Linked DNA regions of Arabidopsis thaliana. The protein of the gene in region 3 purifies or fractionates together with the protein of the main gene of each other region. This does not show direct contact. Each region holds a gene or a part of one and is shown on either strand. Other genes may lie near its edges.

Region 1 (5,548 bases), on a different chromosome or scaffold from region 3:
GTGATACACATTGTATTTTGTGAGGTTGTGATATTCGTCATTTGTGTAATTGTTGCAAATTTCAAAGACACGAAATATATTATTGGTATTGTTGTTTTGCGTGCAAGGCACGGGCTGCCTACTAGTTTACTTACAAATAAAAAGACTTTATAAATTAAAATCCAGTTCGATAGGTGTCTAGGCAGATTTTTTGAACATTACCTACAATGATTACATAAAACACTATAGATTAAACTTTTTCCACGGCAACTAAATTTAATTAAAAATAAAAAAAACTTTATGAATTAAAATCCAGTTAAATATTTTAAAACATATATGTTCAGTAGTAAATTTTGATATTGACGGAACCATTATCACGAAATATTCAGAAAGAATTTTGATTCATATTCATCACAAAATTTATAGCACAATAAAAATATATACACACACAAAGTAGGTAGACTCTAGATTTTATTTATCTTTTGAAATTTCTAAGGTCTGGTATGATTTGCCTTATGCTCAACCCAATCCATTTCCAATTGACTATTAAGGTACTTTTTAGACTCACAAATATTCATTTTGTACAAGGTTTTTTAAAATGTCAATGATACACTTGATGAAAAATGTCGACTCTTCGGACTGATCTTTACAAATTTATGAACTAATCAACTATGAGTAATTACGTTATACTAAGATTAGAAGGATTTAACGGTAAGGTCTTGACTCGTTTGGCAAAATGCAAGTTTCTGGGATAAGGACTAAACCAAACATATTATAACCTTACAAAACGAAGAGTAGTTCTTTTTTTTAAGTTTCAAACAAAACAAAAACCTTACTTAACACCTAACGCCACAAAAGATTTTCTTTGTTTCTGATAACAAAGTAAACTAGACCACGCAAAAATATTAAAGGTCTCTTCAGACCTCAGTTTTCTTCTTCTTCTTCTTCTCACTCTTTTCCTTCTTCTTAGCAGGCATTTCAGTTTCCTCTTCCTCGTGTTTTCTCTTCTTCTTCTTCTCCTTCTTTGCAGGCTCTTCGGCGGTTTCAGGTTCTGCTTCTGTCTTCTTCTTATTCGATTTCTTCTTTGAGGGCTCCTCAGTTTTGGCTTCTTCCTCATCATCAGCCTTCTTCTTCTTCTTTTTGTCTTTCTTCTCTTTCACACCGTTCTCTGAATCCACTGTGGGAGTTTGAAGAAGAGAGTCTGCAGCAGTGTTGTATGTCTGCAGAATACAACAACAACAACAACAACAAACAGCTTAATCCTTTAAGCAACATTACAGGTAATATATCCAAAACACAATTGCACAAATCCAGAATTCATAATTACAAAAGAAAGTTGAAGAAACAAACTAGCAGAGGAATAATCTGACCTTAGCAGGAGTGATCAGACCTCCGGATCCTTTCTTTTTATCTTTGTCATATACTTCAATCTTTGGTTTGCCTTTAGCTGAGCCAGATAGACGTCCTAAATCTTTTCCTTCGAGAGTTCTCAACCGTGCTTCAAGCTGTCAGAAGAAAATAGCCCGCATGGTAAACATCAATCAAGGTAGAGTATTTTTAGATCAGATCGAGAGGAAGATCGGAAAAAAAAAAATTGAAGGATACCTTTAAACGGTTTTCAACTCCCATAGTGTTGTCTTGGGAGTCACCAAGAGCATCACAACGGATAGCAAGAACAGATTTTGCAGCTAGTGACCGTGAAATTTTACCCTTGTTCTTCGGTGCAGCTTGGCCAACAACAGATGCATGGAAAATTAAACCATACTTTGGAGTAGCGTGTTTGGTCTTAAGGGCTCTAAATAAGGCTTTTTCAGCTCCAAGAATCTGAACCGTGCTTCCAGGTTGCTTTGCGAGGTTCAACAAACTACCACCGTGAGATATTAAGCGAGCACCGACTAGCTCCCCGACAAGGGCAGTTAGATTTGGTGCAATTGTGTTCATTCTGCTCTTCAAGTAGTCATAAAGCTGAGCTCTGTACTCGGCAAGAGAAAGAACCTGGTCACAGAGTTCTCGGATGTGCAATAAATCAAGGTCACTGACTTCAGTTCCCATAGATATCACAGCAGCCTCTTTCAGTTCTGCTTCAATTTCATCAGCCAATATCTGAGAGGAGGACACAGAAACAATGTTTCAAAAAAAAAAAAACTAGTGTTAAGCACAAGGAAGTCAAATACTCAAACAGGCCTTTACCTCAGAGAAGTCTAGCTTTGCAGCATTAATCCGATTCCCCATTAGTTTAACAGCCTTGGCATATAAGATATTGTCCTGTACGATCTTAGCAAGCTCAGGAAAATGCCAACCAAACCATTCACGAACCCTCATAGCGTAAGTGTTAAGCTCTTTGTCAAGATCATCAAGCAGACCAATAGCTTGGATTATCATGGTATCCACCTAACATACAAGTACAAGGTGAAGTAACATAAGGGTCAAACAAACACAGGATATATAGACAAACTCAATTGCAATTCAGACCTAATGTTGGAAGAGTAAAAAAAGGGATACCAAAAGTTCCATAATTTATCAAAAGTTGGCTAACTCAACAAATAATTCAGAGAACCAAAAACCAATACAAATCAAATGACTACCTTGTCGGAACTGAACTTTAGTTTATATCTGGCAAGGCTGTGAGACAACCCCAAGCTCATTGGACCTAGATCTTGATCACCCAATCCAGATATAAGTTCAGTTAGCTGGCTTCTGATACCTCTTAACAGCTCCATAACAGCATTGTTGTGAACACAGACTATTTTCTACACGAGTGAAGCAAAACCGTAAGAAACAACCCTTACTCAGAAATAAAAGAGCGTATCGGAACAAAATACACACCAGTTTCTCCTTGATGATATTTCCAAGCTTAGAATCAGCAACAGCTAATGTTTCACCAACACAGTTAGCTTTCAAAAACTTGCGTAGACCCTTGCTTGGAGTTCCCTCAAGCAATTTAGCCACTGCTTCAAGAGCTTCAGCTGTGTTGTCAAACTTGTCAAAAGCTACTAGCTTCACCATCTGTAACAACACACCAAAAATTGCTATGAGAAACAAATATTATTAGCCAGATACAAAATTTGAACTATGTCTAGAACAAAATAAATCACCTTTCGGGCTAACTTTGCGGTCGAGAACTCATTACCCAAATCCTACAATCACAAATTTGACATACTTAGAATTAAAAAACCAAACCACACACAGAAACAAGGTTAAGATAAATGAACAAAGGAGAATGATTTAGTTAGTAACCTCAACATTAGAGAGCTTTCCTTCGTTTAATACTTTGAAGATGGCAAAACCACCTGGCGTCTCAAACAGTATTAGCATTTTTACAAGCTCCTGAAAAGAAGAAAAAACAAGATTAAGAGAAACCCTTGAATCAACTCAAAGTCACCAAACTTGCAAGTTAGTGTTTTACGAGCTAAAGCCATTAAGCTAGTACGAAACAATATTCAAGGTAAAACTTTTTCCCTGTTTCGAAGTTTACAAATCAGAATAATAGTTAAGGCAGATACTCTGTTCAAATTCTTGAAAATCCGACAAAGAACAGAACTATACTTTGTCAAAGTCTTAGAATTTTGGAAGCTTATTTGCCATAACAACGAAGAAAGAGAGGGCGAGAGAGATTCAGTACCTTAGAGGGTTAACGCACAACTACAGCTTTAGAGAGAGCTAAAATCAGGAGCCGCGATTCTGCTAGGGTTTAAGATGGTTTTTATAGTTGTTGAAGAAGGTTCAGAGATTCTCAAAACGCTGCGTTTTTATTGCTAACGGCGCGTTTTTGTAACCTAGGGTTTTAAAACGCATCGCTAATTTAGAAAAATAAATCATTTTGGGCCTAATTAAGTTTGGCCCATTAGTATAAACGACGTCGTAGTTTGAATCATGTCTTTCCTTTATAATTTAGCTAAAGCAGCGACTGATCACATTTCAATCTCTCACGACAAAAAAAAATGTGAACTTGAAATGGAATCTTCAAAGTTGTTGTCTTTATTGCGAGAGTGTACCAATAGCACCAAGTCTCTAAGAAGAATCAAGCTTGTGCATCAGAGAATACTCACGTTGGGGTTACGAAGAGACGTAGTTTTATGCAAAAGTCTCATCAATGTCTACTTTACTTGTAAAGACCATTGCTCAGCGAGACACGTCTTCGAGAACTTCGATATACGATCGGATGTTTACATATGGAACTCTTTAATGTCTGGTTATTCAAAGAACTCAATGTTTCATGACACTCTTGAGGTTTTCAAGAGGTTGTTGAATTGCTCAATTTGTGTCCCTGATTCGTTTACTTTTCCGAATGTGATTAAGGCTTATGGTGCGTTGGGTAGAGAGTTTCTTGGTAGGATGATTCATACTCTTGTGGTGAAGAGTGGGTATGTTTGTGATGTGGTTGTGGCGAGTTCTTTGGTTGGTATGTATGCAAAGTTTAACTTGTTTGAGAATTCACTACAAGTGTTCGATGAAATGCCTGAGAGAGATGTAGCATCTTGGAACACGGTTATTTCGTGTTTTTATCAAAGTGGAGAGGCAGAGAAGGCTTTGGAGTTGTTTGGAAGAATGGAAAGTTCTGGCTTTGAACCAAATTCAGTTTCGTTGACGGTGGCTATATCGGCGTGTTCAAGGCTGTTGTGGTTGGAGAGAGGGAAGGAGATACATAGAAAATGTGTGAAGAAAGGGTTTGAGTTAGATGAGTATGTAAACTCTGCCCTTGTTGATATGTATGGGAAATGTGACTGCTTGGAGGTGGCTAGGGAGGTTTTTCAGAAAATGCCTAGAAAGAGTTTGGTTGCTTGGAATTCTATGATCAAAGGTTATGTCGCTAAAGGAGACAGTAAGTCATGTGTTGAGATTTTGAATAGAATGATCATAGAAGGAACTCGACCGAGTCAGACAACCTTGACCAGCATTTTGATGGCTTGCTCTCGCTCACGGAATCTCCTACATGGAAAATTTATACACGGTTATGTGATTAGAAGCGTTGTAAATGCAGATATCTATGTGAACTGTTCCTTGATTGATCTATACTTCAAGTGTGGTGAAGCAAATTTGGCTGAAACCGTCTTTTCAAAGACACAGAAGGACGTTGCTGAGTCATGGAATGTCATGATTTCTAGTTATATCAGTGTAGGTAATTGGTTTAAGGCTGTTGAAGTGTATGACCAAATGGTGAGTGTTGGAGTGAAGCCAGACGTGGTAACTTTCACAAGTGTTTTACCTGCTTGTTCGCAACTGGCTGCGTTAGAGAAAGGCAAACAGATTCATTTGTCCATTAGTGAGAGCAGGCTCGAAACAGACGAGTTGCTTTTGAGTGCGCTTCTTGACATGTATTCTAAATGCGGCAATGAAAAAGAGGCTTTTAGGATTTTCAACAGTATACCAAAGAAGGATGTTGTATCATGGACGGTAATGATCTCTGCGTATGGATCTCATGGTCAACCCAGAGAAGCACTTTACCAGTTTGATGAAATGCAGAAGTTTGGTCTAAAACCTGATGGGGTTACTCTTCTTGCTGTATTGTCAGCTTGTGGTCATGCTGGGCTAATTGATGAGGGTCTCAAATTTTTCAGTCAAATGAGAT
Region 2 (4,294 bases), on a different chromosome or scaffold from region 3:
AAATCAATATATGTATATATAACTAAAATAAAATTTCTTTGAGGCCCCTTTAGAATGGGGGCCACTGTAATGTTTCATGTTCATGTGTTATGGTCCGGCTCTTAGTAGCATCGCAATTTCAATAGGTTCGATTGAGTGATTCAAAGGTTATGGAATTCAAAGCCACATAACCTTTTTACAAATTTGATTTTGTTTTTGATCCACTTTTCTCTTTCATTTATTTATGGAATTGGATTTTTTTTTTATCCAACTCTTATGGATGTTTAGCTTGTGAATTAATCATGTTTAAATCCACTTGTAAATCAAGTCTAAAGCGACAGAACCTTGATGTTTACGTTCTTGTGAACATATTTGTTGGTCTTAACCACATCTTTAACTGATTATTTTTTTTGTCAAGTCTACCGAACCAAATGACAAGGGAAACCGTTTTTGAATTGAATGACTTTGAAAGAGTATCAACATGATCCTAACAAAACGTCAAGAAACTAGACGTGTTACTCACGCATAATTTTGTATATCTGAGCTAATGGCTTACCATAGCAACTGGTTAACAGAAAAGAAATAGATTAGAGAAATTAAAAGCATCAGGAGTAATAATCCTGTTACACCCTCTTGTTTGCTCTTCTTTGCGGGATCTTCCACGGTTTCAAGTTCTGCTTCTTTCTTCCTCTTCTTCGAACACTCCTCAGTTTTGGGTTCTTCCTCATCATCAGCCTCCTTCTTTGTATCTTTGTCATTAACTTCTTCTTCTTCTTCGCATGCTCCTAAATCTCCTCCTTCAAGATTTCTCAAGCGCGCTTCAAGCTGTCGAAAAAAATTAGACCATCAAAGAAGGAAGAAAAATGTAGATAGGATCGGGCGGGAGAGAAGAATACCTTTAAGCGGCTTTCGACTCCCATAGTGTTGTCTTGGCCATTACCAAAAGCATCACACCGGATAGCAAGAGCAGATTTTGCAGCTAGTGAACGTGCGATTTTACCCTTGTTCTCTGGTGCAGCTTGCCTAACCAAAGGTGCGTGGTAGATTAAACCATACTTTGGAGTGGCTTGTTTGGTCTTAAGGGCTTTATATAGGGTCTTTTCAGCTCCAAGAATCTGAATTGTGCTCCATGGTAGCTTTGAGAGGTTCCATAAACTACCACAATGAGATATTAAGCGAGCACCGACTAGCTCCCCGACAAGGGCAGTTAGATTTGGTGCAATTTTGTTCATTTTGTTCTTCAAGTCGTCACAAAGCAGAGTTTTGTCCTCAGCGATTGAAAGAACTTGGTCACAGAGTTCTTGGATGTGCATCAAATCAAGGTCACTGACTTCAGTTCTCGTAGACACCATAGAAGCCTCTTTTAGTTCTGCTTCAACTTCATCAGCCAATATCTGAGATGACATTGGACACAGAAAGATGTTTCATAAAGACAAAACTATAGTTTAATGGAAACAAAAAGTCAAGGAGAATGGTAAATAAGGCTTTACCTCAGAGAAGTCTAGCGTTGCAGCATTAATCCGATTCCCCATTAGTTTAACCACCTTGGCATATAAGATATTGTCCTGTACAATATTAGCAAGCTCGGGAAAATGCAAACCGTACAATTCACAAACGCTCGTAGTGTAAGTGTTAAGCTCTTTGTCAAGATCATCAAGCAGACTGATAGATAGGATTATCATGGTCTCCACCTAACAAAACATTTTAAGTATGAGAGGGGAAAAGTAACATAAGCAAGGGTAAAACAAAACACAGAGAACTCAATGACTACCTTGTCAGAGGTGATTTTTAGTTTATATCTAGCAAGGATGTGAGACAATTCCAAGCTCACTGGAGCTAAATCATTATCATCCAATCCGGATAAAAGTTCGGTTAACTGACTTCTCACACCTCGTAACAGCTCCATAACAGCATCGTTGTGAACACATTCTATGTCCTAGAGGAGAGAAGCAAATCCGTAAGACACAAGCCATATATATACAGAAATATGTAAAAGATCATAACAAAATACACACCAGTTTCTCTGTGATGATATCTCCAAGCTTTGGATCAGCCACAGCTAAGATTTCACCATCATCACAGTTATTTTTCAAAAACTTGTGTAGACCCTTGCTTGGAGTTCAGATGTGTTGTCAAACTTATGAAAAGCTTTTAGCTTAACCATCCTTCGAGCTGACTCTGCAGAGTAGAACTCAGTACCCAAATCCTACAAGAACAAATTTGACATACTTAGAATATTAAAAACAAACGACACATATAGACAAGGTTAAGATCAATGAAAGTAAGAGAATGAATAAGGTAAATAACCTCAACATTAGAGAGCTTTCCTTCATCTAATACTTTAAAGAGTGCAAAACCACCTGACGTCTCAAACAGTACGAGCATCTTTAAGATTACGAGAAACCCTTTAATCAACTCAACATCTCAAAGTCAGAACTATACTTAGTCAAAAACTAATACTTGGAAGCCACGTTCCACTGACAACGGAGAAAGATTCAATAAATACCTAAGAGGATTTAAGCAAAGCTGCTGCGTTAGAGAAAGAAAAAAAGAGGAGCAACGAATTTGCTATAAGGGTTCGAGATTCTTAATCGACGATCTATATATATAAGAAAATAAATATATGATTTTCTATTAAAAAGTTACGGAAAAAAAACATGTGAAAATATAATTTTCACAAAAAACTAAAAAAAAACCTTTAAAAAAAAAACTATTCTTATTTTCTTAAAATGGTATATTTCTAAAAAGAATTATACAATTAATTTTTAAAGATGTCAAAATAACCGACCTTACTTCTAAGGGAAAAGATTATCAAAAACAAAGTTTATTTATTCTCTATCAAAAACAGAGTTTGATCTGCTAATTTTAATATACAAATTGTAAAATATATGATTACCTTAAAGAAACTATAAAATTAATTACTAATTCGAAAAATGATTATAGTTACTTTTTTAATAAAATGTTGGTATAAATATGTTCATCTAATCTACGTTACATACATAATCTTAAATTAATCTCAAGTACTCTGTTCAAAGTTCAAACACATCACCTAACAAGATGACCATTAAGGAATCAAAAAGTGTTCAGCTAAAGGCTAAAACTCATGTAAAATTACAAGCAAAAGCTCCAAAAACTGTGTTCTTCTTTTCTGAGAATCCAAATTCAAATCACTAACTTGAATTTAACATCAACAAACTAGTAAGTGGAATTGCAAAACTGATTCAAACAATTTACTTTCAACTTCGAAAGGGTTCACATCAGAGTATCAAACAATAAAGGAAAAAAGGTTTACAAAAACTTAAATTGGATCAAGAATCTCTGTTTACAATGAGACAAAATCAGAACAAGTTCTGAAGATTACAACCACATCATATCAGACATGACGTCTAAAGTCGGAATCTCCGAAGTTGATCATTGCATTGGTGTTATCGAGACCGAAGTAGCTGTTTAGACCAAACACATCATCGTTGGATAGATCATTCCAAAAGCAGATCTCATCATCCAAATTGACATTGGCCTCTGTTTGTGTTTCTTGTAGTAGTAGATTGATTTGGTTAATCTCTTCCTCTGTTTCAAATCCTTGGATCTCGGAGCTAGGGTTTTGATCAAAAGAAGCAACTTGTGAAGATGATTCTCCACAGATCTGATAGAGAGAGGAGTAACAGTCCTGATCAAAAGACGGAGACGAGAGGTTAGGGTTTTGATCGCCATGGAAAGAAGAAAAGGTTTGATCGCTGCAATACTCGTTGACAGAGTTTGGAGTAAAAGTAGAAGCAATTTGCGAATAAGAAGATCCATCACAATCCTCGACGTCGAGAGAACAAGTACTATTAGGGTTTTGGTCGAAACTAGAAACAAGTTGAGATTTTTCTTCCTTCTCAAGGCAAGCCATCACATGCTTCTTCATTCTCTGTAAACGATCCTCGATAATGCTTAACTCAGAGAGATCATCACACGAATGGTAGAGATCAGGGTCTTCCCACCAAAATCCTAGTTTGGATCCGGCCGGGTTAACAATCTTGGGTGGAGGCTTGCGATTTAGGTAACAATCAGCGATTTCGTAGGCAGAGGAGTAACCGGAGAAGGAATAGACAACATCGGAACTATCGGAGGGAGAGGTTACGAAGACGGCGATGTTAGCACCGGAGATAAGACAGAGATCGGCGGCTTTGGAAAAAACAGTTTGACGGCGTTTAGAGCAAGTCACGGCTCGTTGCTCTTTGGTTTCTCGTTTCTTTATTTCGATTTTGCGCTTTGTTCCTTTCTTCATCATCGTGGAATCAGATGAAGGCATAATGTTTCTTACGGAGAGACA
Region 3 (5,456 bases):
AATATTTGTTAGTTCACTTTTTTATTTTAAATTTTAAGGAAGTAATTACTATTTTTAAAAATGTTAGTTAATTAGATGCTAAATATGTTAATTATTAATGTGGCAGCTCCTGACTGGTCGTTTAAAATCCGACGTGGACGGCTTTAGAAGCAAATAGTTTTATCACCACCTTCATCATCCCACCTTCCGCGTGGCAAGTTTGGAACACTGATCATCAAGTGATCAAAAGATGGATTAGCTCCATTCTTGAATCAGGAGGTAACCAATCTGTTTAACGGAAGTAATCTCATTTTGATATTCAAGTGCAGCCCAACTCAACAAGGTTGTGGTAAATGACATTAGTCAAACAAATTTTACGTTGTCACCAGCATCATAATATCCTCTAATCAAATTCACCTAGGAAATCAAAAACACCCATAAATTTGTTCAGTCTATAAGAGATAACATATTGCCAAAACTTATGAAATAAGGTTCCATTTCGGAAAACATATATATACATATATAGAGAGATGTTTAAAAGTATAGTTGGTTTACATTAGCTGATGCACTATGAGAAAGGCCAGAATCAGCTCGCCATTTAACCCTTTGGTTAGTCGGGACTTTACCGGATATTTATAGATACCCTATGCAAGTAAAGTTGCGTACGTAATTTTAGGGTAATTTTGCATGCACTTTAATTAATATTTCTAATTGTCAGCATTTTCTTATCTAATATATTTTCATCAATTCTAATTACTTACAAAAAGGAGAAATCTTAGGACATTGTTAATATTATATTTTATTAAAAGATAAATATTTTAGTTATTGAAAGTTTATTAAACGGTTAGAATATTTAACGGAAAAACTTTTAGAATATTTATAATATGTGAAATCTTTATAAACTAAATAATCATTTGAAAGAAAACTTTGATTTGAATTATAAATCTTTGAATAAAAGTATTATTAAAAAAAAATAAAAAACAATAATGTTTAATTTTACCGAACATGATTAGATGGTAGAACGGGTTTATAATGTTATAATATATGAACTTTACAACAATTAAATAACTATTTGAAAGAAAACTTTTAAATTGATTTGAATTATATATCTTTTAAATCAACGTATTATTAAACAAAATAACAAAATAATGTTTAATTTCACTGAACAGAGTTAGATGGTAGGACGGGTTTAGTCGATAGTAATACGAGACGATATATTACGGGTAAAGTACATTAAATATATTTAATTTCACTGAACATGATTAGATAGTATGACAGTTTTGGGTCGATAATAATACGAGACGGTATACTACGGGTGAAATCCTAGATATAACAGTCAAAATACAATTATATTATCTTAAACACTAAGCAAAACAAATAATATTAATAAAACAAATATAATTTAAATTTAAATTATATAGTTATAATTTAGATCTTAACTTAATGAACTATATGTTAGTGTTTCTATATTTTTAATCAGTAAAAATCAAACATAGTAATTGTATACTAAATATTTATAGATATAAGAGTTGTCCATTTGGAAAATATATAAAAAGATTTAATCTATTAAATAAATTATTTCTTTTTAATTTTTTAAAAAATATTATAGCTTCGCGCTGTACGTATGTTATAATATTGTAGATCTAGAAAACAAATCACTTAGCCACGTGTAAAAATAAAGCGCGTGATCTTAATCAAGCAAAGGGTTTTGTTTACAAACTCCTGGGCCGTCTTTAAAAGCCCAATAACCGGCCCAAACATTCTCAGTAGTATTTCGACCTAACCCCTTATTTAGACGCATCCTTATTCGATTAAAGATAATAACATAAACTTATCTCTTTGCCTTGTCTGCTTTTCATCCAAAGGTCCAATTAGCCTCTGAAGCCCAAATCTCTCTCTCTCTTTCTCTCTTTCTCGCTTTCTCAATCTACTCGCCGGAGATCGGCTCGATTCCTCCGTCACCACCGCATCTAACCGGCGATTTTCATTCCGTCTTCTCTACTTCACAACGCAGAGCTTCAATTTCTCCCTCGCAGGTATTTTTCACGAAACCCTAAACTCTGGATCTAATTTCGCCTGGATCTAATTGGGGATTTTAGAGTTTTGCCTCGATTGTTTGTTAAATTGTTAGCTTTTGGTCTACTCTGCGAAAATACGTTTGGTTCATTTACTTTATGCAATTACCATACTGGATCTGCTAATTCTGAAATAATTCAACTCATAGGACAATTTTACTGGGTTGATAAAGTTCTTAAGGTCGTTTAGGAGCCAAGTTCAAATGTTTTGGTTTAACTCATGGAGGCAAATTAATTTTGAAAAAAAAACTTGAAATTGTTGTTTGTGTTTGTGTGTGTGTGTGATTTAAAGAAAAAAGCCCGATCTTATAAACTTCTGTGTTTTGTTTGAATCAGTTTCGTTATGTTGAAGACTTTATAATCTGGGCTCTAGTTTTTGATTTGCAGCCCATGTTTGATCGACTCTTAGGACCTTTTAAAACTTCAGATCTGTTTTTTTTCTCTCTCTCTTTTTAAGTTGTTGGATCTACGCGATGTTGTCAAATACCGATTTTGCCCTTATACCAATCTTATTATTTACCGTTGGTCATGGCCTTTTGGAATAGGCCCAATGTTTAATCATTGTTATTATTATAGTGGGCTTTGTTTGGGTAACAGTTATTTTCCTTTTTATGTTATGTTGCAAAGAAGATGGAAGTGTACAATGACGATACTGAAATGAGGTCACCAGAGACACAACCAATCAAGGAAACAGCTTTGGAAGTGTACAATGATACTGCTGAAATAAGGTCACCAGAGACACAACCAATAGAGGAAACAGCTTTGGAAGTGTACAATGACACTGAAATGGTTTCACCAGAGACCCAACCGATCAAGCGACGCAAGAAGAAGTCGATGGTGTGGGAACATTTCACAATCGAGGCGGTAGAACCGAACTGCAGAAGAGCTTTTTGCAAAGGATGTAATCAGAGTTTTGCTTACAGCAACGGTAACAAAGTGGCTGGTACTAGCCATCTTAAGCGTCACATTTTTAAGGGGACATGTCCTGCACTTATCCATACGCATGACAATGACAACAACCCACTGATGTCTACTCCTTACACTCCCAAGACTGACACTCCGAGAAGGCGTTACCGGTCTCAGAACAACGCTAGTCCCTATGTTGCGTTTAATCAGGACAAGTGTCGTCAAGAGATAGCTAAGATGATCATTATGCATGACTACCCTCTTCACATGGTTCAGCATCCAGGTTTTGTCTCGTTCGTGCAGAGTATTCAGCCTCACTTTGATGCTGTGAGCTTTAACAATGTTCAAGGAGACTGTGTGGCGACTTACCTTGCTGAAAAGCAGAATGTCATGAAGTCTTTAGAAGGGATTCCTGGACGCTTCTGTCTAACGCTCGACTTTTGGACCTCCAAGCTAACTCTTGGGTATGTGTTTATAACTGCTCACTACATTGACAGCGATTGGAAGATACAAAAGAAGCTTCTCAATGTTTTGATGGAATCGTATCCAGAAGCTGACGAAGCCTTGAGTCTCGCGGTTGCAAATTGTGTTTCTGAATGGGGTCTGGAGGGAAAGTTGTTTAACGTCACCTTTAACCACCCGGCGAGTAACTCTGCGGTTGAAAACATCAGACCTCAACTCTGCATCAAGAACCCTGGGATTCTGGATGGTCAGTTGGTAATAGGGAATTGTGTTGCCCGAACATTTGGTAGCCTCGCTAAAGATGTCCTGGAGAAAGGGAAAGATGTGATCAAGAACATCCGGGACAGTGTGAAGCATGTGAAAACGTCAGAGTCCCATGAGGAGAGGTTTACTGAGCTCAAGGAACAGCTTCAAGTTCCAAGCGAGAAGGTGCTTTCTCTTGATGATCAGACGCAATGGAACACAACATATATGATGCTTGTGGCTGCTTCAGAATTAAAGGAAGTGTTCTCGTGCTTAGACACTGCTGATCCTGACTACAAGAAACCTCCTTCAGCAGAGGATTGGAGGCATGTGGAGGCACTTTGCACATTCCTGAAGCCTCTTTTCGAAGCAGTCTCCACTCTTCAATCTACTGGAAACCCATCTGCTGTTACCTTCTTCCATGAAGTGTGGAAGACACAGTCAGATTTGTCTCGGGCGATAGCTGGAGAGGATCCTTTTGTCACAGGTATTGCTAAAACCATGCAAGAGAAGGTAGACAAGTACTGGAGAGACTGTAGCTTGGTTTTGGCAATGGCCGTGGTGATGGATCCTCGGTTCAAGATGAAGCTTGTCGAGTTCAGTTTCTCCAAGATATTTGGAGAAGATGCTGGGAAGAACATCAAGACTGTGGATGATGGGATCCACGAGCTCTTCACCGAATACATGGCGCTCCCGTCGCCCCAAAACACGACATCTGAAGGTGGGAAAGCAGATGGACTGTCGGATTTTGACACGTACATAATGGAGACAACGGGGCAGAATCTGAAATCAGAGCTGGACCAGTACCTTGATGAAACCCTGCTTCCCAGGGTTCAGGAGTTTGATGTTCTTGACTGGTGGAAACAGAACAAGCTCAAGTACCCGACCTTGTCAAAGATGGCTAGAGACATCCTTTCAATCCCGGTTTCAGCTGCAGCCTTTGACTATGTCTTTGACATGGAACCGAGGGAAATGGATGAGTACAAGACGTCACTGAGGCCCGAGACAGTGGAGGCTCTGATTTGCGCAAGGGAATGGCTTCTTGAGAGTAATGCTTCTTCTTCCGCAGCTGCGCAAAATGCAAGTGCTACCATCAAATCTGAAGCATAGGTGAGACTTTGCTTCATTATCTCTAAATGTTGTTGTTTTCTAGAAGTTTATGTATGTTGTCTTTTGTGGTTAGTCTTAAACCCACCGTGTGATTTGCTATTAGGAGCTTCCCTCTTTAAGATATCTACTGCACATTTTAAAATGCTCCTTCTTAGATGAACTCTATAGCACATCTTCAACTGAACTAAAAGCCTCGTTGAATCCTATCTTTCAATTCCAAAACTGAAAGTCTTTATTCTAACAATTTTTACAACGTATATGAGTAATTAAAGCTCTAGACAACTGTTTTGGTACATGGAGATTTTTTAAAACAACTCTTGAAAGAAATATAAGAACAAAAGGTATTGTAATGCAATGACTATAGTATACTATCAAGAAGGCAACCTAATGTTAAGCCTCCTTAACCAAACCGAGTGAAGAATCATGTGGATCACATCAAATGGTTGAGCCGGACGGTTCACCACAAAATGCCTTCTAACTTTCATAACATTTCGATACATCCTTAAATATTTGTCATGTGGAATCTCTTGCAAAATCTTCTTAATATCAGGAATTTTGTCGACCGGGATCTCAACCGAGAACTTGCTCCAATCAAGCACGTCGTTGAACGGAAGCGAGTAGTTGTCCGATATGACAACCGGGACGCAGCCTGAGTAGATGGCTTCGACCTCTCTAGGACTA
Region 4 (5,613 bases), about 13 Mb from region 3:
ACCCACCTAATTTTGGAATTTATTATTAAAATAAACACTAAGAGTTTTTTTTAATATTAAAATAGGAATTGGAAAAACAAATAAAATAAGAAATATGGTATGTAATGAGAGTTTACTTCATCTATCCAATCAAAGAAGCTCCTTTATCAAGACTCTATTGTAAACCAAACAAGGAACAAAAGCTTAAGGAACTAATGATTTACGTCTGTCCTTTAGAATTAGCCATTTTATTTCTTTTATGACTTAAAGCTACATATATTATCTATTTATTCATTCATTCCCAGCATTATTGCTAACTACTATGTATTCTTGTAGACGATATACTAATTTTATTGACCTCATTAATTTGATTAAAATCTTGCCAGACAATAACCAAAGATAAACATGCATAGTCAACAAAGAGAAATACGATCATGAAAAAGATACTAACGCCTGTAAAAAATCTTTAAAATCAAAACAAAATCAAAGAGTATTTTATTTGGTGAATCTACAGACACGTTTAGTAGCAAAAAACTATTTGATTTTTTCAGAATATATTATTTTTCTTCAATTCTTTCCTCTTCCAGATATATATAAATCATGCAAGAAGAATATTGTACAACTACAAACTATAAATTGAAAAAAGAGTTCCAAAATTAATAATCTAGAGTCTGGAAGGCTAGAACAAAAATAAAGTTCGGGTGAAAAGGATTTAAATATGAATCCATCATTCAAAATGACGATTTCAGAAAATTTAAGTTTCATCTTAAAACACCTATTCCTCTAGATAAAATGCAATTCAACAAAAACAGTTATTAATCTTACACTCAAGAGATTTCTCAAAATCGGTTTCTCTCCCTCAGTCCTTACTCTTCTTTTTCTTCTCTTTCTTATCCTTCTTCTTGGCTGGTGTCTCCGTTGTTTCTTCTTCCTCATGCTTTCTCTTCTTCTTATTCTTCTTCTTCTCCTCCTTTGCAACCTCTACTACGGCTTCAGTTTCTGCTTCAGCTTTCTTCTTCTTCTTTTTCTCTGATGGCTCTTCCTCTTCGGGTTTCTCTTCTTCTACCTTCTTCTTCTTTTTCTTATCTTTCTTCTTTGATGGCTCCTCAGATTTAGCTGAGGTTTCCCCAAGAAGAGAATCTGCAGCAGTGTTGTAAGTCTGCACATAACAAAAAACAGTCAAGATCACTTCATCATAATCCCAAGAACAAAGACAATATGTACACACATCCAAAATTAGAAGAAAAGATGATGAATCAAAAACAGAGAGAATGATCGTGACCTTAGCAGGAGTGATAAGACCGCCTGATCCCATCTTTTTATCCTTGTTATAGACTTCAATCTTAGGTTTGCCTTTAGATGAACCAGACAGACGACCTAAATCTTTTCCTTCAAGATTTCTCAACCGCGCTTCAAGCTGTGAGTTTTTAACACATATCAGAAACATCATCAGTTAAGAAGGAGGAAAAAAGATTGTTCAGAGAGATACCAACAAGAGGAAAGCTATTGAAGAATTTTGTTACCTTAGCTCGGTTTTCAAGGCCCATAGTGTTATCTTGGCTATCACCAAGAGCATCAACCCTAATAGCAAGAACAGTTTTAGCAGCTAAAGACCGCGAGATCTTTCCCTTGTGCTTTGGTGCTGCTTGACCAACCAGAGATGCGTGAAAAATCAAACCGTACTTGGGTGTGGCGTGTTTTGTCTTAAGAGCTCTAAAGAGAGCTTTTTCGGCTCCGAGTATCTGAACCGTGCTCCCAGGTTGCTTGGAGAGGTTCAATAAACTACCTCCATGGGAAATAAGACGAGCACCAACAAGCTCTCCTACCAGGGCAGTCAGATTGGGAGCAATAGTGTTCATTCTGCTCTTTAGGTAATCGTAAAGCTGAGCTCTGTACTCAGAAAGAGAGAGAACCTGGTCACAGAGTTCACGGATGTGCAACAAGTCTAAGTCACTGACTTCTGTTCCCATGGATATCACAGCTGCGTCCTTAAGATCTGCCTCAATTTCATCTGCTAAGATCTACAATGAAACCAGAAACAGGAGAATATTAGGTCGTTAATCAAGGCGTTTGTTCATGGAAGCCTCTACACAGTTTACAAAATTGAAAGTTACCTCGGAGAAGTCTAGCTTAGCAGCATTAACTCGGTTTCCCATCAATTTAACAGATTTGGCATATAGGATATTGTCTGATATGATCTTAGCAAGCTCGGGAAAATGCCATCCATACCATTCTCTAACCCTCATGGCGTATGTGTTCAGCTCTTTGTCAAGATCATCAAGCAGACCAATAGCTTGGATAATCATGGTATCCACCTGACAAAAACTAAACAGTTAGGAGATGCAAGAGAAGCAAAAACAAACACAGGAAACGTTTAATGTCGGACAATCAAAGGCTAGTTCAATACAGAAGTTCCATAATTTAACACAAGTTAGCTTCGATCAATTAACAAATTCATATACTTCACATATCATATCACCAAATAAAAAGACCAATACAATTAGTCAGGAACCGAAGATACCTTGTCAGAACTAAACTTTAGCTTATATCTGGCGAGACTGTGAGACAGACCCAAGCTCATAGGAGCCAAGTCTTGATCACCCAACCCAGATATGAGTTCAGTAAACTGACTTCTAACACCACGTAGAAGCTCCATAACAGCATTGTTGTGAATGCAATCAATTTTCTGTATGAAATTAAGAACTTTCATTAGAAACAAAACACAGAGCAGACAGGAATATGGGTGTAATGATGGGAATTACAAACCAGTTTCTCCTTGATAACATTCCCAAGCTTTGAATCAGCCACAGCCAAGGTTTCACCTTGACAATTAGCTTTCAAAAACTTGCGCAGACCTTTGCTTGGAGCTCCCTCCAGCAATTTAGCCACAGCTTCGAGAGCTTCAGATGTATTGTCAAACTTCTCAAAAGCTTTTAGCTTAACCATCTGGTACACCAATAAAAACATATGAGAAACTCAACACTAAATCTAATTTTAGATGTTCTGAAACCACACTTGATGAAGAAGCAAAAAAATTACCTTTCGTGCTGAGTCTGGAGTGTCGAACTCTTTACACAAATCCTGCAAAAAAAAATAAAAAATAATCCATGAATACTTTTAGAGCCTTAAGGATAAGCAAAGAGAGTACAAAAGAATGAAGAGAACTCACCTCGACGTTAGCCATCTTTCCTTCATCTTTAACTTTAAAGAGGGCAAACCCCGCCGCTGTCTCGTATAGCACTAAGACCATCTTCACAAAACTCTTAAGCTGGACCTGAAGAGAAAATTAAGACAACACTTAACTCAGAACAGTAAAGATACGTGTCCGAGTCACACTAATTAAACTAAAAGTTCGTTTTGAGATTAAAAACTAGCGAGAAACAGCATTCCATATAAACCCTAATCCTACTTTTAGATCACATAAGAAATACAGGAGAAGAAAAAACAGAGAGATAAACTACAATAGCCTTAAAACTCTGTCCGAGTATGAGTATTCGAAACTCCACAATCTCCAGCAAGAATGGAAAAGTGAAACACCGTGAAGAGAGAAGATGAGAGATATTAAATACCTGAAGAGTTAATCAAAGCAGCTGCGTGAGAGAGAGGAAGAAGATGAAGACGGAGACGGACAATCACTTAGGGTTTTAAGAGTGTGTTGTTATAGCAGTTAAAGACGAGCCGAGCCTTCTTAAAACGCCGCGTATTGTAAGGGGTATTTCTATAACTTCCATAGTTAGGGTTTAGGTTTTAAGATTAATGGGCCTGACTGAATGGATATTTTAATCTGGCCCGTTTATAATATTAATACGTGGGCGTTTTATTGTTCTCTTCCCCCTTAATAGTTTTTCTTTTTTAATCCCTTTGTTTCTCTGTGGTATTCAACAAATTTGTCTCGAATTTATAGAGCTCGAAGCTTCAAGGTACGGTTTCAAATTTTCTCGTTGATTTTCTGGGTAGATAGCGTTTTCCATACTTCTCTTCAACTTTATTTCATAGTATAGCTCTGATTTTGCTAAAACTTCATCTGATTAGTTCCGTGGATCCTGAAAATCACGATTTTGCGTGTTGTTTAGGGTTATACTCTGTAGTTGTGTGATTAGTGTTTGAAGAAGCTGGGCTAGTGTTCGATGTTTACGTCGATAACCTAATTTTGCAGGAAGTTATAATGGCTAGTGAAGATGAATCGATTGAACAAAAAGCTGCTGCTCGTAAAGAGGCACTTAAAGCTCTAAGGGCAGCTCAGGAACTGTCTGAGACCAAGGAAGACGGAGAGGATGAAGCTGTCGAAGAAGAGTGAGTTTGCTTTGTTCTTTGCTTATTTTGTTTGTCTTGACTAGCACATGGAGTTGTTAATGTTGTGTGTTGGCTTTAGCATAACTAGGAGCTTCTCTTGTGCTTTGCTTCTCGCCTTTACTATCACTGTTTGTGAGAGAATCAATAATGGTGCTCTTGCAGCATCTGTTACCTAACAATTTTTTCCAATTTCAAGTTGCATTGTTGTGTATACTTTGCTTAGGTGGTTGGTTTTGTTGATTGATTATTCGAGGTAGATTCCCTTTTTATTCATATGAATTGTCTTTGATTTTACAGTGGTCCAGCCATGAAGTTTAGAAACTATGTTCCCCAAGCTAAGGAGCTTCAGGATGGTAAACTAGCGCCACCAGAGCTACCCAAATTCGAAGATCCGATCGTTGCACTTCCACCTGCTGTAGAGAAGAAAGAGGTGTGTGTGACAGTTTTTCTTTTCTCTGTACAAGGATCACCAAAAGCGACTCTGTTTAGCATTGTTGTTTCCTTTACTTGTGCCTCTTAAGCTTACAAAAAATGTTATCATTGTAGGACCCATTTGTTAACATCGCTCCAAAGAAGCCAAACTGGGACCTCCGAAGAGATGTGCAGAAGAAGCTTGATAAGCTCGAAAGGCGGACTCAAAAGGCAATGCATAAACTCATGGGTAAGTGGCAACTGTATCTACATACTGATATCTTCTATGTAAGCTTGATAATTAAGACATTAGTCTGTGGTTCGTGAGTAAGTGAGTAACATTTCACTGAATCTGTTGGTAGTATGATACCAAATCATAGAAGTCCAAAATAGAGTGATCTGTTGGTGTTTGTTTATTATGGAACTAACACATGCACTTTCATCATCTAATTGCAGAGGAGCAAGAGAAAGAACGTGAGATGGCTGAAGCTGATGGTAACACCATAGAAAGTTGAAACCCAACGACGTCATCAAAGAAAGCCACCACTGAACAGTATATTCTACTCGATTTTGTTTAACTGTTAAAGCATTCGAAGTGAGTAGACCATGTAAAATCCTACAGCCATTGGCATAGACATAGTAGGTTTATCTTCTTGTGTGAATCAAAGAAAGTCGCAATTTATTTCCGAGTAGAATTAAGTGCGGTCCGGTTTTTCTCTAAATTTGGTTCAACATCGGTGGTAATCTAGTTTGATCATTAATGGAACTGCGTTTTTTGGTTTGATTCGATTTACTGTGGTTTGATAAAGACATCCCAAACTAGAAACCAAAGTTTTGATTCGGGCTAGACGGGTTTAGTTTGGAGTCTGGGAAAACAACACAGAGAGCTTCTAAGACCTTTCTTCTCGGCATGTTGCTTCCACAGTGGGA

The links.
Region 1: the proteins of DAYSLEEPER (region 3) and AT5G27120 fractionate together in Arabidopsis thaliana (co-fractionation; one large-scale study listed by BioGRID). This does not show direct contact.
Region 2: the proteins of DAYSLEEPER (region 3) and AT5G27140 fractionate together in Arabidopsis thaliana (co-fractionation; one large-scale study listed by BioGRID). This does not show direct contact.
Region 4: the proteins of DAYSLEEPER (region 3) and AT3G05060 fractionate together in Arabidopsis thaliana (co-fractionation; one large-scale study listed by BioGRID). This does not show direct contact.

Annotation. Positions count from the first base shown.
Region 1 is NC_003076.8:9,539,033-9,544,580, reverse strand, and holds AT5G27120 (NOP56-like pre RNA processing ribonucleoprotein), read right to left. Parts: upstream 3,721-5,548; 5' UTR 3,602-3,720; intron 3,307-3,601; 5' UTR 3,295-3,306; coding exon 3,217-3,294; intron 3,117-3,216; coding exon 3,075-3,116; intron 2,986-3,074; coding exon 2,806-2,985; intron 2,730-2,805; coding exon 2,565-2,729; intron 2,371-2,564; coding exon 2,170-2,370; intron 2,083-2,169; coding exon 1,585-2,082; intron 1,485-1,584; coding exon 1,350-1,484; intron 1,200-1,349; coding exon 897-1,199; 3' UTR 516-896; downstream 1-515. Other genes in the region: AT5G27110 (Tetratricopeptide repeat (TPR)-like superfamily protein), read left to right, coding at 3,934-5,548. UniProt on the Arabidopsis thaliana protein: Required for 60S ribosomal subunit biogenesis.
Region 2 is NC_003076.8:9,546,612-9,550,905, reverse strand, and holds AT5G27140 (NOP56-like pre RNA processing ribonucleoprotein), read right to left. Parts: upstream 2,365-4,294; coding exon 2,287-2,364; intron 2,186-2,286; coding exon 2,141-2,185; intron 2,088-2,140; coding exon 1,995-2,087; intron 1,916-1,994; coding exon 1,751-1,915; intron 1,671-1,750; coding exon 1,470-1,670; intron 1,374-1,469; coding exon 876-1,373; intron 805-875; coding exon 532-804; downstream 1-531. Other genes in the region: AGL39 (AGAMOUS-like 39), read right to left, coding at 3,353-4,273. UniProt on the Arabidopsis thaliana protein: Required for 60S ribosomal subunit biogenesis.
Region 3 is NC_003074.8:14,319,154-14,324,609, forward strand, and holds DAYSLEEPER (BED zinc finger and hAT dimerization domain-containing protein DAYSLEEPER), read left to right. Parts: upstream 1-1,789; 5' UTR 1,790-2,015; intron 2,016-2,681; 5' UTR 2,682-2,684; coding exon 2,685-4,775; 3' UTR 4,776-4,916; downstream 4,917-5,456. Other genes in the region: AT3G42180 (Exostosin family protein), read right to left, coding at 5,147-5,456.
Region 4 is NC_003074.8:1,412,336-1,417,948, forward strand, and holds AT3G05060 (NOP56-like pre RNA processing ribonucleoprotein), read right to left. Parts: upstream 3,722-5,613; 5' UTR 3,549-3,721; intron 3,254-3,548; 5' UTR 3,230-3,253; coding exon 3,149-3,229; intron 3,061-3,148; coding exon 3,019-3,060; intron 2,926-3,018; coding exon 2,746-2,925; intron 2,666-2,745; coding exon 2,501-2,665; intron 2,295-2,500; coding exon 2,094-2,294; intron 2,001-2,093; coding exon 1,503-2,000; intron 1,397-1,502; coding exon 1,262-1,396; intron 1,139-1,261; coding exon 839-1,138; 3' UTR 532-838; downstream 1-531. Other genes in the region: AT3G05070 (Cwf18 pre-mRNA splicing factor), read left to right, coding at 4,145-4,272, 4,570-4,702, 4,819-4,933, 5,140-5,198. UniProt on the Arabidopsis thaliana protein: Required for 60S ribosomal subunit biogenesis.